Ovis aries: one gene and its partners. The protein of the gene in region 2 interacts with the protein of the main gene of each other region in a pairwise test. Links are inferred from orthologs where the notes say so. Each region holds a gene or a part of one and is shown on either strand. Other genes may lie near its edges.

What was found.
Region 1: the proteins of FMR1 (region 2) and PICK1 interact in a two-hybrid assay, tested with the Homo sapiens proteins (2 studies listed by BioGRID and IntAct). The link is inferred for Ovis aries from reciprocal best matches to the Homo sapiens genes FMR1 and PICK1.
Region 3: the proteins of FMR1 (region 2) and CYFIP2 interact in a two-hybrid assay, tested with the Homo sapiens proteins (2 studies listed by BioGRID and IntAct). The link is inferred for Ovis aries from reciprocal best matches to the Homo sapiens genes FMR1 and CYFIP2.

The regions. Positions count from the first base shown.
Region 1 is NC_056056.1:215,673,094-215,679,216, reverse strand, and holds part of PICK1 (PRKCA-binding protein), read right to left. Parts: intron 5,950-6,123; coding exon 5,883-5,949; intron 4,895-5,882; coding exon 4,805-4,894; intron 4,364-4,804; exon of another isoform or gene 4,170-4,363; intron 2,817-4,169; exon of another isoform or gene 2,342-2,816; coding exon 2,288-2,341; exon of another isoform or gene 1,908-2,287; coding exon 1,845-1,907; exon of another isoform or gene 1,092-1,844; coding exon 958-1,091; intron 569-957; coding exon 476-568; intron 1-475. UniProt on the Homo sapiens protein: Probable adapter protein that bind to and organize the subcellular localization of a variety of membrane proteins containing some PDZ recognition sequence.
Region 2 is NC_056080.1:87,699,596-87,705,718, forward strand, and holds part of FMR1 (fragile X messenger ribonucleoprotein 1), read right to left. Parts: exon of another isoform or gene 5,518-6,123; coding exon 5,335-5,517; intron 4,638-5,334; coding exon 4,555-4,637; intron 2,275-4,554; coding exon of another isoform or gene 2,260-2,274; exon of another isoform or gene 2,015-2,259; coding exon 1,853-2,014; 3' UTR 1-1,852.
Region 3 is NC_056058.1:66,563,158-66,569,280, reverse strand, and holds part of CYFIP2 (cytoplasmic FMR1-interacting protein 2), read right to left. Parts: intron 6,118-6,123; coding exon 5,989-6,117; intron 3,717-5,988; coding exon 3,612-3,716; intron 1,022-3,611; coding exon 930-1,021; intron 1-929. UniProt on the Homo sapiens protein: Involved in T-cell adhesion and p53/TP53-dependent induction of apoptosis. Does not bind RNA. As component of the WAVE1 complex, required for BDNF-NTRK2 endocytic trafficking and signaling from early endosomes.

The DNA of each region.
Region 1 (6,123 bases), on a different chromosome or scaffold from region 2:
CCCCTGAAGACCCACGTTACACATGGGTCTATCGAAGGCTCTGACAAGTCCTGAAGCAAAGGACCTGGGTGGGCCTGCTCAGTGGAGTATTTTTCCTCAACTCCTTTGACCGCAGAATTACCATTTGATCATAAGACTCATGAAAATCCATGTTACAACCAGTGAGCTAGACTGATCCACTGTTAAAGGGTGACTGAAGAAAATTCCCATGGGGTCAGAGTGGGTCCCGAGCAAGGGCGCCACCCACCCCAGATCTCCTCTGAAGAGTCAAGGCAGGGCCTAGGCTGCTGCCTGAGCCCCGAACACCTCCCTAGGGCCCTGGCGCCACGCCCCCAGTCAGGTGTCACCAAGGTCCTGGCCCTGACCCGTTGGCCGTCAAGCGGCCGACTGAAGAGGAACAAACCTCCAGGTGGGCTCTGACCCCAGCAGGCCGGGCCCACACCACCGCCCCCCCAGGAGGCCGGGGCCCACTTACCAGGTACTCGAACTTCACGTCCAGGTACTTCTTGATGGTGAGGCGAGTGTCCGGGATGGCTTTGTTGAGGTACGTGTTCAGGTCTGCCAGCATCTGGAAGGGGAGGTGGGGTGGACGCTCAGGCCCCCTGGGCAAGGGCGGGTGAAGGCTGGAGAGGGCGACAAGGAGTGGCACTGGTGCGTCCACCCTTCTAGTGGACTCAGGTGTCAGAGCCGAGGGGAGATCCCCGACTGCCCTGTCCATTCCGAGGAGGAGACAGCCCAGGCCAAGGGCAAGTTGTAACTCTGGTGGGGCCAGGGCCGGAAACCAGCCTGGAGGTCAGTGCTGAGGTCGTGGAGGAAGAAGGACTCAGCCACGGTCAGCTGTAGCAGCCCACCCCCAAACCAGCCCCTAGGTGCTCCGCCTCCAGAACAAGACACTCCGCTGGCCACACTGCTCCTCCCCGCTCACCTACGGACCCACGCACGCTCCACGTGACCTACCGGCTTGATCGTCTTCAGGAGCCGGATGCCAAACTTCTCGATGCTGCGGTGGGCATCGGCGAACTTCACAAAAGCCTCACTCGCAGCGGGCTGGGGCTCCCGCACCCCGATCACAGAGAACACGTCCCCAAAGGCTGCGTGACAAGTTTGTTCTGAAGGCCGCCCCTACTTGACCCCTTTACTTGACCCCTTAACGGAGAAGCCAGGGATTTGTTGGGGAGAAGCATGGTGGGGGGCGTGGTGGGTCGGAGGTTGAGGTCTGCTGGTGGTCTACATCCCAGGGAGGTGGGTCTAAACCTCAAGAAAGGTGGATCTACACCCCTAAGAGCTGGACCTGTACCCCCAAGGAAGGTGGGTCTACATCCAAGGAGCTGACCTGGTTCCTGAAGTGACCAGACCATGCGAGGAAGACAGGGTCAAAGTGGAGTAGGTGAAACTGTCTGGGAGCAGAGTACTAGTCTAGGAATCTGGTCCTAAGGCCAACCCTGCACCTAAGGAGCTGGGTTACTGCTTCTTCTACCTGGGCTTTGTCTTCCCAGCTGTAAAATGGGATTAACTGAAGCTAACAAACGTGTAGGAAACATGATCGGGAATAAGAAAAGGCCTTGTACATTGTAAGCAGCAGTATAGACAGGACAGAGCCTGCACGGGGATCTTCTGCACCCCACAGAAGCTTAGCTGGTCGAGAGGCTCCCCGCTGGCCCCATCACCATCACACCCCCAAATCTGACATGAGGTCAGATGCTGCAGGGTCTGCTTGAGCTTGGGCAGCAGAAAGGCCCCAGAGAGAAGTTCGCCCTCACCCTCCCCGTGGGGTGTAGGGAGGTGCTGAGCCCAGAGTGCAGGGTTTTTTCCAGGGTCATGTAGCAGGATCAGGGCATCCTTACCCCGGTGCGTCTGTGACAGCTCGTAAAAGGCCCGGAGGAGGTTCTTGGTGTGTTCTGTCATCCCTGTGGGAAAGACCCAAAATGAGAGGGACAGGACCACACGGTGGGGATGACATTGGTCCAGGACACGGCCTCCAAACCCCCACCCCACCCGAGGCCCACACTGTCCTTGAGGTTCAGGCTTTTCTCACTCGGTTTACGTGTGCCGTTCTTTTTTATGGGCACATGTTACTTTTATAATCAGAAAAAGCAGGTCTTTAGATTTTCTTAAGAATTTTTAATGACTACGGTCCTAGAATTGTGTGGCTGGCACCCTGCCCCTCACTGCCATCACGTTTACAGCAGGGCTCCAGAGCTCCACCTCGGGGAGAACCCGGGCCAGGCACTTCTGGTGCAGTACCCCACCCACCCAGGGCTGCTGGCGGGAGGGTGTGCCTGCCCACCTTTATACAGCTCGGCGGTCCGCTCCAGCTCCTCCAGCCTCTTGACGAGCCCATCTGTGGGGATCAGAGAGCCAGGGGTGAGGGGAGAGACCCAGGGATCACTGGAGCCAGGCTTGGGAGAGGCGAGGTGGCCCCCAAAGAACCAGGAACAGAACAGGACAGGGTCCCAGGGATGGGGACTGGGCACCTCAGGGCGGCTGGGCTCGCAGGTGTTTTGTGACGAGCCCACTATACCCAGACAAGGCGGGACAGCAGGGCGACCCTCAGGAGGCTGTGATAAGCACCACCCCAGGAGGCTGGGACATGGTGACAAGGATGCGGGTGCTTCCAGAAGTGAGGAGTGAAAACTGGATTGGGCCCTCCCCAAGGCCATGCCCAAGGGTAGCTGCCCAAGGCCGGTGGAAGGCAAGCCCCTGCCTAGCAGTCAAGGACCTGGCCAGAACTTCCAACACACGCCCTGCCAACGGCTAGGAAGCAAGGCAGTCAGAGACAAGTGGGAGAGACGGGATGCCTGACAGTAACTCTTAAGGTAGGCTCAAGGCAGCCCGCCACCACCTGGCAGCTCAGAAGGGACAGCAATCTGGGAGGGGAGAGAAAGGCAGGAAGGGCTTTGAGGAAGAGCTTGCACTGGAGTGGGCCTTGGCGATCGTCTTCACTGGCTTCACAGGTGTTTATCCTGCACCCACTATGTGCCAGACCCCGTGTTGGGCCAGGGAATGACCTTGGTGAATGAAATCTGAGTGGTGCTTTCCAGGCTCCTGGTCTAGCGGTGATAGTGGCCAGGCCATGGCTGGCAGGGGCAGTAAGGGCTGCCAGGTGAGGGATGGGGGCAGCTGCCTCACCTCCAGGGCTCAAGATAGGAACAAGTGGATGACCAGGGCCGGGGCTGCATTCCAGATCAGGGTGGGGCGGGGCTCCGGCCAGCAGTGATCACCACCCTCCTCCACTCTGATAAGGGTGAGGCCCACACCCACCTCCCCACCAGGAGCACGGGCAGCAAGTGTGGGGCAGGGTCCATGCTGGTGGCTGCCTGGCCCAGGGCCTCCTAAGACAGAGCCTGGCCTCACTGGAGCCCCCCACCCAGCTCAGTCCTTTCTCCACATGAGCTTTTTGGGGCAGATTACTTCCCCCATCTTATAGGGAAAACCAAGGTTCAGACAGGTAAAGCAACTTGCCTAAAGGTGCGCAGCGAGGGCTGTGCAGGCCAGAGTGCCCTCTGCCCCCTCAGTTTCCTGTGCTGACCTGGGCCAGGGTTTTCTGAGTGGGAGGAGAGGAAGGGTTGTAGAAGCCAGGTCTGGATTCTTAAATCTGGGCAGAGAATGCAGTGTGTGTCAGGCTGTCAGGGAGGAGGGTTTGGGTTCTAGGGGTTGGTGGGGCGCTCCTTAGAGGTCTTCAGAGGCTTCAGCCACTGGGCTGGCCTCCAGGCCCCAGCGCCCCAGCACCCTGGCGCCCGGCCAGCCTGGCAGTGAAGGAGCCACGTAAGCGCCGTGCTGTTGTTTTTAGCTGGGTCATGGGACATCATGACAGCTTCAATTTTAGAAACCCTATTTAAGGCTGGGGAAATTGCAAGGTTTGGGGGGGAAAAAACACAACAACCAGTTCTAATTTCATCTCGACGCATGGTAACTACAGTAACAGGGATTTATAGGCACCAAGAAGCTGGAAATAGCAGCCGCCACTTTTGTACACCCTCTGGAACAAGCTCAGACCCCACCCCCGATGTCCCAGCCAATAAAGCCCAGTGCGCCCAGCTGAGCCTACAATTTATATTGGTATTTATATCTGTCCCCACACGTACACAGCAGAGCTGCTGCTATTTATAAACTTGGGCTGGTGACGGCGGGAGCGGGACTGCGTGTTTCACTGGTTCCCCCCACCCCCCGGGGAGAGCGCGTGTGCACACGCATGGGTGGGTGTGAGCGTGTGGGGAGAGAGTTGTGTGTGCACAGGCATGTGTGGGTGTGAATGTGCATGTACTCAGTTTTCCCGCTGCGGGAGGCGAGCACAGCCACCTCCAGGTCTGAGCAGGAATTGCTGGGCAGCAGCACCACCTCCTGGAGAGAGGCGGGGGGCCGGGTAAGCAGCCCGGGAGCAGCCGGGACGTGCTGGGGTGACGAGAGGGCACAGGGTAGAACTGGGGCTGGGGTGGGGGAGGCCTGGCTGTGTGAGAGCACCTGGGGGGCAGTGGCGAAGGCACCAGCTTGGGGAGCTTGGCAGGAGGCACCTGCCCACCAGGAGTCTCTCATCTGTGACTTGGGCCTATCTGTGAACCCCTGCTGGAAAGCGGGGGGACACGGGCTGTAAGAGGCCTTCACTGTGCACTGTGGGTGATCTGTGGGAGCTTGGGGAGGCCTCCAGGGAGGCAGAGAGATGGTGAGTATTGGCCCCACCAGCAGAGGCCTGGCCCAGGCCAGCGGGACACATACAGGTCTGGTGGGCAGCCGTGGCACCCGAGCCCCGGAGGCCTGGGCCTGAGTCCCCTGGGACCAGTGGTGGGGCTGGGAGAAGGGGGCTCACCATTGCACAGGATGGCCCGGCTCAGACCCAGAGCATCTGCCGTCCCCGAGCTCATGTTCTCGACCAGCCGATGCTTCACCTTCTTCAGCACTGGGACCAGGTGAGAAAGGACTCATGAGGTGGAGTCTGGGCCCCCAGGGCCAATCCTGCTCCATCACGACTCACTGGGAGCAACAGCAGGGCCGGAACTGGGGTTTGGGGTGGGGGTGACTATGAAGTAGGGAGGGTCCTGGCGGGGGGTTATGGGCTTTCTGGGCTCCCTGCCCTTTTCACTCTCTACTTGAGAGAGGTGTTGGGAGCCTGGAAACAATAAGTATGTAAGGCACTTAATTGAGGGTCTGGCACTCAAAGTGGCTATCGACTCCCACTGAAGTCCAGAGCTGCCTAGGCCTGACACTGGCCTCTTTCCTTAAAAACCAGAAGGCAACTGTGGCCCAAGGGTGGAGGGAAAGGGTGCTGGGCCCCAGCGCCAAGAGATCTGGGTGGGCTTTCACCTGGGGGCACAGTGCCTCCCTGGGTCCCGGGCTCTGGTGTGCAGTGAGGTGGCTGGTCCAGAGGACCTCGAAGCTCCCATCTGGCTCCTGAGCCTGGAAGCATCTACAGAGCCAAGGCCCAGCCCCCGAGCAGGAGGTAATATGTCCCAGGGCATGCTGTGGGCAGCAGGACTGCCCTCTGCCCCGAACCTGAGGGCCTATCCAGACCCTAAGGCTTTCTGGCAGCAGGTGGGCAGAAGAGGCCAGGGTTGAGTGGGGTGTGCAGGTGGGCAGGCGGTACCAGGCAGGGCTGGGCTGCCCTCCCCTTTCAGAGTGGTGAGGGACTGGGCCTAGTGAGCTGGAGGGCTGCCCTACGGCATGCAGGCACCAGAGCAGGCGGTCGAGGGAGGTAGGGGAGTGAACCATTAGGCAGGGAGAAACCAGAGACGGGTTCCGGGGAGCACCCCTGGGTCCTCCCAGCTGCTTTGGATTGGCTTGGTCGGAGGGTCAGAGGGCACAGCCACGTGACCACTGATGCACTGTCACAAGGAGACAGAACGGGGGCTTGCAGAGCCCCTGGACGCCACTGCCCCGGCACAGCTTACCAATGTCCAGGGACATGCCCTGCTTGGGGTCCGCCTGCAGCTTGTTGTAGTGGATGGTCACCTCCCCCTGGAAGAGGACAGCAGAGCTGTGATGGAGCCCCTGGGCCCCAGCCCCTTCTCTGAGTAGGCCTGTTTGCCCTGGTATCTGTGGTCATCAAAGAATCCTGAGCACGGGGAAAGGGTTCCTCCTCCTCTCTCCACCCACCAGGCCCCAGAAAATCGGCAGGGACAGGGCAGACAG
Region 2 (6,123 bases):
AGCAATCATTTGTAAGGATTGCATCAACATCAATGTAGCAGAGGAAGATCAAACTTTATTGAAACTGCTTGCATACAAAATATATTGCACTATAACCAAACAAATGTCAACATAAAATCCAATCTGTTGTCGCTAATATGTACAGAGAATATTGCCCAAGAGCAGTTACATTACAAGGTCATTCTACCTTGGTTAATTATCTACAGTATTTTAAACCGAACAGCTTACAGATGATGTGTGCAAGGTACCAATTTCTGTTTTCAAATACTATACATTCCCAGAATAAATAACTAGAAATCAACATTAATGTTTGGCAATACTTTTAAAAGACTTTTTAATATTCTTGAAATCATGTGCAGTTTGCTGCCATTTTTATATGCTTATTTGTATGCAAGGAAAAGTAACCGTAATATGAAAATTCAAAGAAACAAACTCACAACAGACATCAGAGGCAGAACTTCGGTTTGTACGGCACTGTACAGATTCAGTGGTACCCCTACTTGGAGTTATTTTTTAAGAAAAATATAACATCTTAGAGTGAAGATCCTTCACATATTTTCCTCAGTAAATCTCGTAAAAAAAAAAAAAAAAAACAAACACAAAAAAACCCTCAAAACTGAAACCCAATATGTCAAAAAAACAAAAGGAAAAAAAAACTAAAGAAAAAAGTTTCATGTGTTAACCATCCTAGTCTGCTTTCCAATTCTGCTTATACATTAGACCTAATATTTCAGAGTTTACAAAACATTTAACCTGCTTCCAATGTTTCTCAGACAAAGTACCTGTACTTCACAGGATTATTATGCACACAAATGACCTTTCTACCTCCCCCAAATAAGCTTGAAATGAAAATGAGAAACTTCACAAAACTCGGGGAGGACAAAATAAAAGACAGCTCTAAGTTAAAACTGGTCATCAGGCCAAAGAGCAGGCGTATCCTACTAACTTTCAACCAGGAAGATTTGTTCCTAGCTGAAAATATTTGAGCCTCTTGCAAATGAAAAGACCGTTACTACTTTTCCGGTCTATACAGAAAAATTACACATCCCTCTCAATAACACTATTTGTCAAACTTCAGTGCAACAGAACAAAAACAAAAGTCTTATTCTTTATACTGCCTAACCTGATGTTTATGTAAGAAAAAAAATATGGAAAGCATGCATTCTTCTATAAAGTACTAATGTTTGACAGGGTTTGCTACATCTTTTAACATTTAGTGTTCCAACTTATCTTCCCTGAACTCTGCATCCAAATATAATATTCCTACCTGCCAAGATATAAAAAAGGCACAGATCATACAACTTTTTTTTTTTTTTTTGCTAATGAAAATGACAAACGTCACATCACACACATCTCAGGGTCCACTAAAATACTGGAAAAGTGGACCAAAACATAAACTGACACAGGACATGAAATGCCTTAGTATTTTATGGACTTCTATATGAGATTGAAAATAGAAGTCTAATATGATTACCATAAATGCTATTATTCAGAAAAACTGAAATATACCAGTGAGTTATCACCCAATGCAGGGTAAACGGTCCAAATTAACAAAGAATATCAACTGCGCGGTATTTAAAAAGTAAACCAAATGAAAATCCTGTCCTGAAGTGCTAAGTATACTTAATTATTTAAAAGTAATGTTTCAAAAATTTTAAGACCTCATTGTGTGCAAATTTGAAAATTGCTGCTTATGGCCAATGTGAAAAAAGCAAAATTCTTAACGGAATTGTTCATTTCATGCCCTGTGCCACCTTGCCTACTATTTGTCTTTGGCCTAACAAAGTTTTCTAATATGGAATAAGAATTATGGAAATGGTATAGGGGATATATCACTCCAGAATTATGCAGTTTAGGGTACTCCATTAACAAGTGGTTGCTGGCCATCCACGGTGTCTGGCTTTTCCTTCCTCTGGTTACGATCTTTACCCGTGCGCAGCCGATTACCTTCACTGGAGGTATTCTGTAATGTTTTAGTGTGGACACTCCTTTCATTATTGCAGTCAACTCTGATCTAAAACAAGTTATAGTTGTTATATACACAGACCATATTCTGTTGTAATCTGCAATTGGCCTGACAAGAAATTTAAGCCCAAAGTGTATATTCCACATGTTAAAAGGGATTTGAATAGAAGAAGTGTGAGAAATTAAGGTCAGGTAGGAGCTTTATTTGGTTTATGATTCTAAAACACTCTTCTTCTGTAACTGGAACACCTTGGTCATCTCACTGCATCCAAAGTTAGATAAAAACTCACAATCCTACTGTGTCTTCTTCTAAGTAGAACAAAACAATGAGAAACAAATAGTTAAAATGAACTCCTATTACGGATTGCAAAATATATATGCAAAATATACAGGTCTGTTCAAAAAAATGGTTTATTCTTCAAAGATATGAAACCCAGGAGGAGAGAGACAAATTATTGTCTTCCTATTCTGACGTTACCAGAGCAATAACTTAACTCACTTATTAACTAGTCTTTAGTTGACATCTTCATTTCTATCGTAAGTATGATTAACTTTTTCTACACTGAGGGCTCCCTTTGTCTTACAACATGTGTGTGTATATAAATATACACACATACTGTATATATTCATATATATGTATATATACACACACTATATATACTCATATGAGCACTGGTTTCTAGTAGCTTATATTACCGTAAGGAAAATCAGAGATCATACAACTTAAACTCTGAAGAATAAGAATAGTACAGGGAAATTTGAAGACACTAATGCGTGGGAGAACTGGAATCCCAGGAAGAGAATAGAGATGGATATGATTTAAAAAATAATATTCTGAGATTTATATAATATTTTAAGTGCCAGCACTGAACACTTAACACTGCTAATGCAATTGTAGATGCTGTACAAAAGAAAGATAATGTTGACACACAGGCCTAAAACAATTAATGAAAGTACTGATATGCTTCAAGTACAAATGGGACTACCTATAGTCCCAAAATGGTGCACTCGAATTTCAAAGTGTGTTTAATTGTTGGTCCTGGGTGAGTGTTTTAACTGTTTGGTTGTCAACAGGGGAAATATGAAACTGGTACATAAACGCCTTATAATTTCATCAATCTCTAGGTCTAAGATATTTTCTGTGATGATCCTTAAGCACCAGCTAATAGTTAACACCTACTTATAAATGCTAGGACTTCCCTAGTGGCTCAGACGGTAAAGCATCTGTCTACAATGCCAGAGACCTAGGTTCGATCCCTGGGTTGGAAGATTCCCTGGAGAAGGAAATGGCAACCCACTCCAGTACTTCTTGCCTTGAAAATCCCATGGACGGAGGAGCTTGGTGCAGGCTACTATTCATGGGGTCGCAAAGAGTCAGGCACACCTGAGCGACTTCGTTTTCTTTCTTTCTTTCTACAAATGCTATGAATTCTAAGGAATATTCTGTCATGAAGTTTCTGCTCTTAAAATTTATGTCTCACTAATTCTAGGTACTGGTCCCAAACCAATCCATAGTCATGAAGGGACCCCCAACTACTTGGATTAAGTCTTCAGAGTTAAAGAAGCAGCCGAAGAGATCATGCGTTCTGGGAATGAGGTACCAGGGTTCAAATATTACTCTGCTGCTGCTGCTAAGTTGCTTCAGTCGTGTCTGACTCTGTGCAACCCCATAGGCGGCAGCCCACCAGGCTCCGCCATCCCTGGGATTCTCCAGGCAAGAACACTGGAGTGGGTTGCCATTTCCTTCTCCAATGCATGAAAGTGAAAAGTGAAAGTGAAGTCGCTCAGTCATGTCCGACTCTTAGCGACACTATGGACTGCAGCCTACCAGGCTCCTCCGTCCATGGGATTTTCCAGGCAAGAGTACCGGAGTGGGGTGCCATTGCCTTCTCTGAAATATCACTCTAGTGTATGCTAACTATGTGACTCAGTCTTTCTAAACTTCAGTTTACTCACCTATAAAACAGAATAATAGAACTTCTTACCTCAGGGTACTGTTGAAACATTAAGTGAGATACAATACACCCAGCCAAGATACCTGGCTGTGCTTGGGGGCTCATTTTAAAATTATGTTAACAATGTGTTCAGCACAGGTGCTGGCCACATGAGATGCGTTCTCAGGGTAGAGGTTGGCTCTAAATAGGCAGCTGACTGATTCAGCATGTACTAGCCAAGTGTCATCAGCCCTGTCTATTGTGAGCTAGATACCTTCTTTTTCTTACTTTCCAGTCAAAGAGGACACCCTATCCTTGCAACTCTGGTGAGAAGGGATGTGGGTTCCTCAGGGCTTATACAAGTCTCTCTCAGTACATTCCTGGATGTTTCTTTCCTTGGAGAATGGGGGTAGGGAGGATTACCTATGTGGTACTTAAGTCATAATGTGGTTGTCGAAATCTTTACAAATACTGAGACTGCACATTCTTTAGATACATCTTCTTTGTATACTTGTCATAAAGGACTAAAATTGACCACAAATGTAATGTTGAAAGGAAAGTATTTCACAAATACCTATATAGTATGGCAAATTCACCTAAATCTCAAACTTATGTAACTGGGACAATTTGGATGAAAAGAGGCACATAGGTTTACCTGGAGGGATCCATCTGCTGTTCTTCCTTTAGCCTCTCTTGGATTACGTGGACGATTATCTGTTCGGGAGTGATCGTCGTTTCCTATAGGGACATTTTTAAAAGGTTCAGTGGTCACTGATTCTGACATGCCTATTGTAGAGTTCTTTGTTCCCACATCCTCAATTTATTTAGACCAACCACAGAATCTAAAATATAATCAACCTAGCAATTTCAGTTACACACTGTCTAATAATCTAGCATCCAGGTGGCACTAGTGGCAAAGAACCTGCCTGCCAATGCAAGGGACATGAGACCTGAGTTCGATCACTGTGTCCGGAAGATCCCCTGGATAAGGAAATGGCTACCCACTCTAGTACTCTTGCCTGGAGAATCCCATGGACAGAGGAGCCTGGTGGGCTACAGTCCACAGGGCTACAAAGAGCTGGACATGACTAAAGCGGCTTAGTGCACAGAAGCACATGTTACAAAAAACATTCCTAAGCCATCACAGTTCTACATCAACTGTGTGATAGGTCAATCTGAACTAATGATTAGATGTGATGTTTAGAGTACCCAAAGAAGCTGAACTAGTTATCAGGGGTTATTCATATGTTTGTAAACTGTAAGGAAGCCTGTCTGATATTGCTAATTAATTACGTGAGCCTTTCTTATGGTGACCAGTACAAAATGGAAGAAATGGGGGCTTGATAGTATGTCATTGAATCACCTAGCTTTTTCATAGAACTTCAGACAGTTGTTACAATTCAGCTTCATTTCTTAAACGAAAAACCCTCTGTACCTTTGAAGCTGCCTCCACGTCCTCTTCCTCCTTGTCCTCTTCCTCCGCCGCCACGCCGCCGCCCGTCTCCTCTGCGCAGGAAGTTCTCCCTCTCTTCCTCTGTTGGAGCTAATGACCAATCACTGAGTTCATCTCTGTGGTCAGATTCTGTTTCAGAAGCATTTGATGCTTCAGAATTAGTTCCTATCGAGAGTTAAAAGTTATATACCATTGTCCGACTTAAAAAAACGTTAGGTTAACAGAAACTTCCAGAGACGTTTCTGGGGGTAATCCATTACACTTCCCAATTTATAAGCCCACCAAAGAGTATATATCACCTTCCATTTTGTAAAACAAATTATCTTAAGTTAAAATGAAGGTTTTCACGATATTTGAGGTCAATTTTGTTTCAAACATTTTTGGTTCTCATTTTAAAAAAAAAAGGAATTCTATTAGCCATCTAAGTTCAAACCTGAGTATGCCACATCATTTAACAGCTGTGCTCCTTTAAACATCTGTGCTCTCTGGAGGAAAAGTTGCCTACAACAATTAAATGCAATACCTTGATAAACAAAACTTCTAGAAAGAGAGTTCCTTTTAACAAGGTTTGGCCAGGGACAAAGGGGAATGCACACATTTTGGTCATCTTAGAGAGGGTGGCAAAGGTGGCCATCGTGGCTACTATCTCAGGGAATGGTCTCTTGTGAGATCAGGGATTGGACCTCGTTGAATGGGGATATGCTTGTCTGATGCTTGGTCCACAACCTTCCCTCCCACTCCCGCAGGAATAACTGATTATTAGAAAGGATT
Region 3 (6,123 bases), on a different chromosome or scaffold from region 2:
CTATACTTCGACACAACCTTTACCCTGAGTTCCCTGTGCGGGTTGGGGACACATCACTCAAGCCCCTGCCCCCCACCCTGAGCACATCACCACTCCAACCACCTTCAGGTGGCTAAGAATTCACAAGGAAATAAGTCCAGCATTCAGGACTCCATGCTTTTCCTGGAAGACCTCCTCACATACCAGCAGCCACTGGGTTACGAAGCTCTCCCTGGTGAGAGTCATCTGCAGTGGCTCAAAGCTGGTGGAGTTCAAGGACTCTGCATTTATGTATTTTTAAGGCTTTAATACCCTCATCCCTGATGAAAACATGGTTTGTCCCTTTCTGTTGGAAATGTAGGCAGAAGAAACCTCCTTAACAAGACCAGAGATCAAAGGGGTAGCCAAGCCTGTAGCCCATTGTTCCCCAAACTTCCATGAGGTGCTGACACCCCGGATCTTAGCACAGATGACCTAGAGGGTGGTTTCTAGAACAACCTTGGAGGAGGCCATTGACCCACTTCACACCTGGAACCGTTGGTACCATACCCTGCACGGCATACTTACTGCACGGACACAAGACCTGAGGAGAGAACCAGCGGGATGAAGAACAAGGCCACCTCGCTCCATCTGACCACTGAGGGCCAGCACTCCTCCCCCTGCCTGGGGGCAGGAGGACTCCTGCTGTCCCCCTGCAGGTGGCATGGGCCACCACAGGGACAGAGAAGGGGCGGGGCTGTGCTCTGAGCGCTTCTGAACCCTGGCAGCAAAGGGCGAGTGCAAAAGGGCTCAGATCACCATCCGCTGCTCCCCTCTGTCAGGAGCCAGTGATGGACAGACTCCACCTGCCCAGGGTCTGGGGAGAGGGGAGGGGCTGAAATGGCCCCTCGGCCCCCTGCCCGGGCTGGGCGTCCTTGCGGGAGCCGAGAGACATTACGGCAGGCACTCACTTGGACTTGTTCTCTTCATAGTGAGCACTGGTCTTAATGTATCTGGCCAGCTCTATCTGCATGTCGCCGAAAAGGGGCACCACCTGCAGCTGCTGCAAAGGAAGCAAACACAGCTTGTGAGACACGGAGGGAGGGGCCGGCATTGCCTTCCACTGGGAGAGCCAGGCCTCCCTGTGTGCCTCCGGGCTGACCCCTAGTTCTGACCCCGATGTTGTTGCCCTGTGACTCGGGAACCACAAAGAGCCTTAGCCAGCCTAGTCCTCCTCTGCCTCCAACCATTTCTATGTTCCAGCATCTGAGCCCAGAGAGGCAAAGAGACTTGTCCAAGGTTACCCAGCAGGCAGAACAGATGAAGAACGAGAATCAGATGGCCTGCCTCCCAGGGCAGGGTCTTCTCTGCTCTAATTTCCCTTGGATTAAAGGCGCCTCGCTGTTTCAAACTCTGGACTAGATGTGAGTGCCTGGATTCCACTGGCTGGGAGTGACCTTCTTGAGAAACTCCACAAGGTGAATTGAAACCTTGAACACCCAACACTAGAGGGCAGACAACTCCCATCCGAAGAGGAGGACTAATGGTGGGGAGGCTGGTATTCACTGTCTGCTTCTGATTCATGAGGCACTGCAGTGCTCAGTCCTTCAAAAGCAGAGACTTTTAGGGCAGTGAAACTATTCTGTATGATACCACAATGGTAGATACAGGGGCTTCCCTGGTGGCTCAGCAGTAAAGAAAGCGCCTGCCAATGCAGGAGACACAGGAGACCTGGGTTCCATCCCTGGGTTGGGAAGATCCCCTGGAGGAGGGCATGGCAACCCACTCCAGTACTCCCGCCTGGAGAATCCCAGGGATAGTGGAGCTGGGTGGGCTATAATCCACTGGGTCACACACCTTAGCAACAAAGTACAACAACAATGGTAGATATAGTCATTATACATTTGTTAAAACTTACAGAATGCACAATGCCATGAATTATCCCTACTGCACACCATGGGATCTGGGTGATAATGATGTGTTAACAGTGCAGATTTATGGACTAAAACAGATGTCCCTCTCTGCTGGTGAGTTGTGATAATGGGGGAGGTTGGGTATGAGTAGGAATAGGAGTTACATGGGAAATATCTGTTCATTCTACTCAATTTTGCTATGAGCCTAAAACTGCTCTAAAAAATAGTCTATTAAGCAAAACAGAAAACAGTTATCTCACTCCATAGAATAGCTGAGTGAGATCAGTACTACTATTATTCCCATTTAACAAGATGGACAAATTGAAGCTTTGACAACTCAGCTAGAGTGATTTTTTTTTTTTTTTCACAAAGTCAGACCACCTAGAAGCCAAGGGGCCAGGATTATAACCCAGGGGTCTGACACCTATGTTGCTCATTGAATCCTCAAGGGAACCCCATAAAGTAGACACCTTTAGCATTCCTATTTTCCAGGTTAGAGAACTCAGTTTCAGAGAAGCTCTGTGACTTTCCCAACATCACCCAGTTATGTCATGGAAGAGAGAGACTAAAACCCAGGTCTGTGTGAGGTGAGACTATGGTCTTCAATTCCACCCCCAACTCATTTATGTGGATTTAAGGCAGGGGTGGACTTTGCCAGTTCCCCCCAGATAAGCCCAGTTTTCATTTTGGGCAGTCCTAGAGAAAAGTGAAAGTTTTAGCTTCAAAAAGAAGCCAAGCCAAACCTTAGGATGCTTTTGGTGACTTGTGCATGTATGCTAAGTCACATAGTCATGTCTGACTCTTTGTGACCCCATGGACTGTAGCTCACCAGGCTCCTCTGTCCATGGGATTCTCCAGGCAGCAATACTGGAGTGGGTTGCTATGCCCTCCTTCAGGGGATCTTCCCTGTCCAGGGATCAAACCAGCGTCTTTTATGTCTCCTGCATTGGCAGGCAAGTTCTTTACCACTAACACCATCTGGGAAGCCCCTTGGGTGACTTACTTCCCTACTAACCTCCAAGAGTTAGTGAGACCCAGGCCCAGACACATCTTCAAAGGGATCCACTTTTAATTTAAGCTTGGTTTTCCCATGTCTGATCTCAGAGGCTCTACTCCACACCTGAAGTGCCTGATGCTAGGACACGCTGACAATATGGAACTGACTTCCAAAGTAGAAAATCCCTTTGCAAAAACCTCAAAGGCAAACCTCAAGGTTTGTTGTTAAAAGATTTGGGGCCACAAGATGAAATCTCTGAGGCACTTGAATGGACTGAGAGCAGGCTGGACCCCATGAGGCATTCTGGAGGCAGGGAGCGGAGTAGGCCTCTGGTGGGCCAGGAGAGTCTGTGAGCCTGTGAACGTGAATCAATGTAACGTCCACTCTCTAATCCTCCTGCAACTGCGAGCTCTGATTTATACTGAAAATTAAAGCAGGCTCTGTCTTCTGGGACACACCTCTTTCTTTAGATGGCAAGGGGTTTCAGGAAAGGGTAAAAGCAGTGTGTGGAAAGCATTGCAAGGCCTTCTGGCTGTGTCCTGAGACTGAGGCACACACCTTCAATAGCGTGGATTCCGGTACCCAAGGCAGCTAGGGCCCCTGTCTCTATCCTCCTCCTCCTCTTGGGATCCTTAGAGTCACCGTTCAATCAATAAGCATCATTCTTTGCTGCCTAATTTCATTCCTCTCCCCAGAGAGACCGCCCCCTGGCCCACTGCCCAGCCCCAGCCCCAGTTGCTGACCTTAAAGAACTTATCAATTTTGCTGAGGTTGATTCTCTTCTTGGCATCCAATTTGTAAATGTTACTGACATTCCCATCCATCAGGTACAGACCAAAACCCATTACCTAGCATGAGAAGAGGCAGAGACATAAGCCAGTCACATCTATTGGAAACGTTTCAAAAAACCAAAGTAAAAGCAGATGTAGGCGTGTGCACACCCACATCCCCTGTTAGTGACATACTCTATTAAAAAAACCCATGTGTGGTCACAAAGAAGGACACATAGAACTAATCTCAATCCGAAATTTGATTTCTGTGAAGACATGCAGAGGACTCTCGTTTATTATTGTGGTGGCCACTTCTTGAGTCCTCCCCATGGGCCAGAGTCTGTGCTTAGGGATTTAGGAGACATTATCCTTAATTCTCACCATCTTATGAGTCAAGTTCTATATGATAACTTTATTCTACAGATGAGGAGCTGGAGACACAGAGAGGTTAGACACAGCTGCAGAGATAGGATCTGAAGCGGGGTCTAGCAACGTGTATGTACTCAGATCCTCGAGAAAGACTTGAGTGGTGCTGCTGTTGCATCCCCAGGCCCTGGCAAACACAGCGGCCACTTGATGCATACTCACTAGATGGTAAATGAATGTGAAACTATTCACCCCTTTCCCCAAGGAAACTACAACAAAGATTCCCAACGAATCTCACTGCTGACTTCATTAACGAAAAGTACACATTTTTGCTGACAGTGCCCTATAGGCAGGTTGACAGGCTGATTCTAAACATTCCAGTCCATATAATATTGGGTTGGCCAAAAAGTTCATTTGGGTTTTTCCTTACAATGTAACGGAAAAACTAGCATGAACACTTTGGCCAACCCAATAGTTTCCTGCATGCTGGCTTACTTTGCTCCTTTTGTCAAATGTACAGCAAGCCCGAGGGAGCCTGAACAACTAGGCTGAAAGCAGCTTCCTCAGCTCGCAGTTGCTATGTGACGGGGGATTAGTCATGCCTGACACCTAAGGGACTGGGCTAGAGGATGGGTACTCATGGTTCTGCAAGGGGTGTGCCAGACTTTTCCATTTAAGGTGAAAGGCGCCCCCTGCTGGCATCTGAGTTTACTAACACACTGTAGAGAGCTTGGAAACTGCAAAACTCCAAGAGGCCAGGTTGAGAATTGAGAGGGAGAAGGCTGGGAAGCCGAGAAGTGGGAGGAATAAAAGCAGGCAAGAGAAATGAAGAGCCTGAGAATCTGATAGCAGCATGGAAGGATGCTTGGTGAAGTGGGGTTTAGTAACCTAGTTTGTGGAAGCAACAATTCTGGGCAGAGCTGTGGTAATTGCCTGGACATAGCACTGGTGTGAGAGAGGCTGCTGAACTCTGGGTGACTTCTCTGAATTTCTGACTGTGCAGAGGAAACCAGAGTGAATGAGTCAGAAAGCCACACTCTCTTGCAACCTTCCTCGAGATGCTACGGAAATGTAAAGAAGGGAACACCAACAGGGTTGGTATTCTGGAAATAAGAGGCGACATGGAGAGGAAGAAAAAGTCAAATCACCAGAGGAACTCTGAAAGGGATGAAAGAAACAAAAGAGGTGATGCAGTGTGTATAAAGAATATGGAGAACATTATTCATTCCAGTGCCTTTGTTTTCAGAGAGAAGTTAGGAGTAATCTAAGCAGCTAAGGATAGAATAATGGCTAAAGAAATGGAAACTCATCCATACAACATTATTTAAGGGCTGCATGTTATTCCAAATGTACTTAATGAAATGGGATAAATAATGCACATACATAATTTATGTAAACTGCATATGTTGAAAATACATCAGCACAGAAAAAAAAGAGAAAGATATACATCAAAATGGTAAAAGTGTTATCTCTGTGTGGAAAGATTATAAGACATTCGATTTTTTAATGCTTTTCTTTTCAGAATTTCTACAATGATAAACATCACTTGATAATTTAAAAATGAAACATGTAAACTGATGAAACAAACATGACCGTTTTGGCAAAATATAGTAAAAGCTATAAGATTTTGCCTTCCCCTTCGGTTGGCAATTTTCCTCTAGGATGTCTGACTTAACAAGAGTATGGCCACAAAGTGCCACAGAGTTTCAATGCACTTTAGCAAACAAATACCAAATGATAGGGGATTTGTTAAATGACAATGTCCCCATATAATGAAATACTAGGTAACCATTAGAAGTCACATTGTAGACAGAGCCTTAATGCTCTCTAGAAAGGTACACAACATATCACAGGGAAAAAATTGGTTACAAAACATTCTGTATAGTAAGATCTGCCCTCATGCTTAAGAAAGAAGAAAGAAATAACTTTTTAAAATGATTTTAAATAAGAAGGAGGTGAAAGGGTATAACTGAGGGAGCTGTACCTTGAGGAGCATGTGCTTCTCACTGGGGGTCAGATACATCTTGTTCTCGTAGTAATCCACGCAGATGTTGACAATGTCAGCCAGCAGCTCCTCATAGCCTGGGATCACTTCCAGTTGCTGGTGGAGACACTAAAC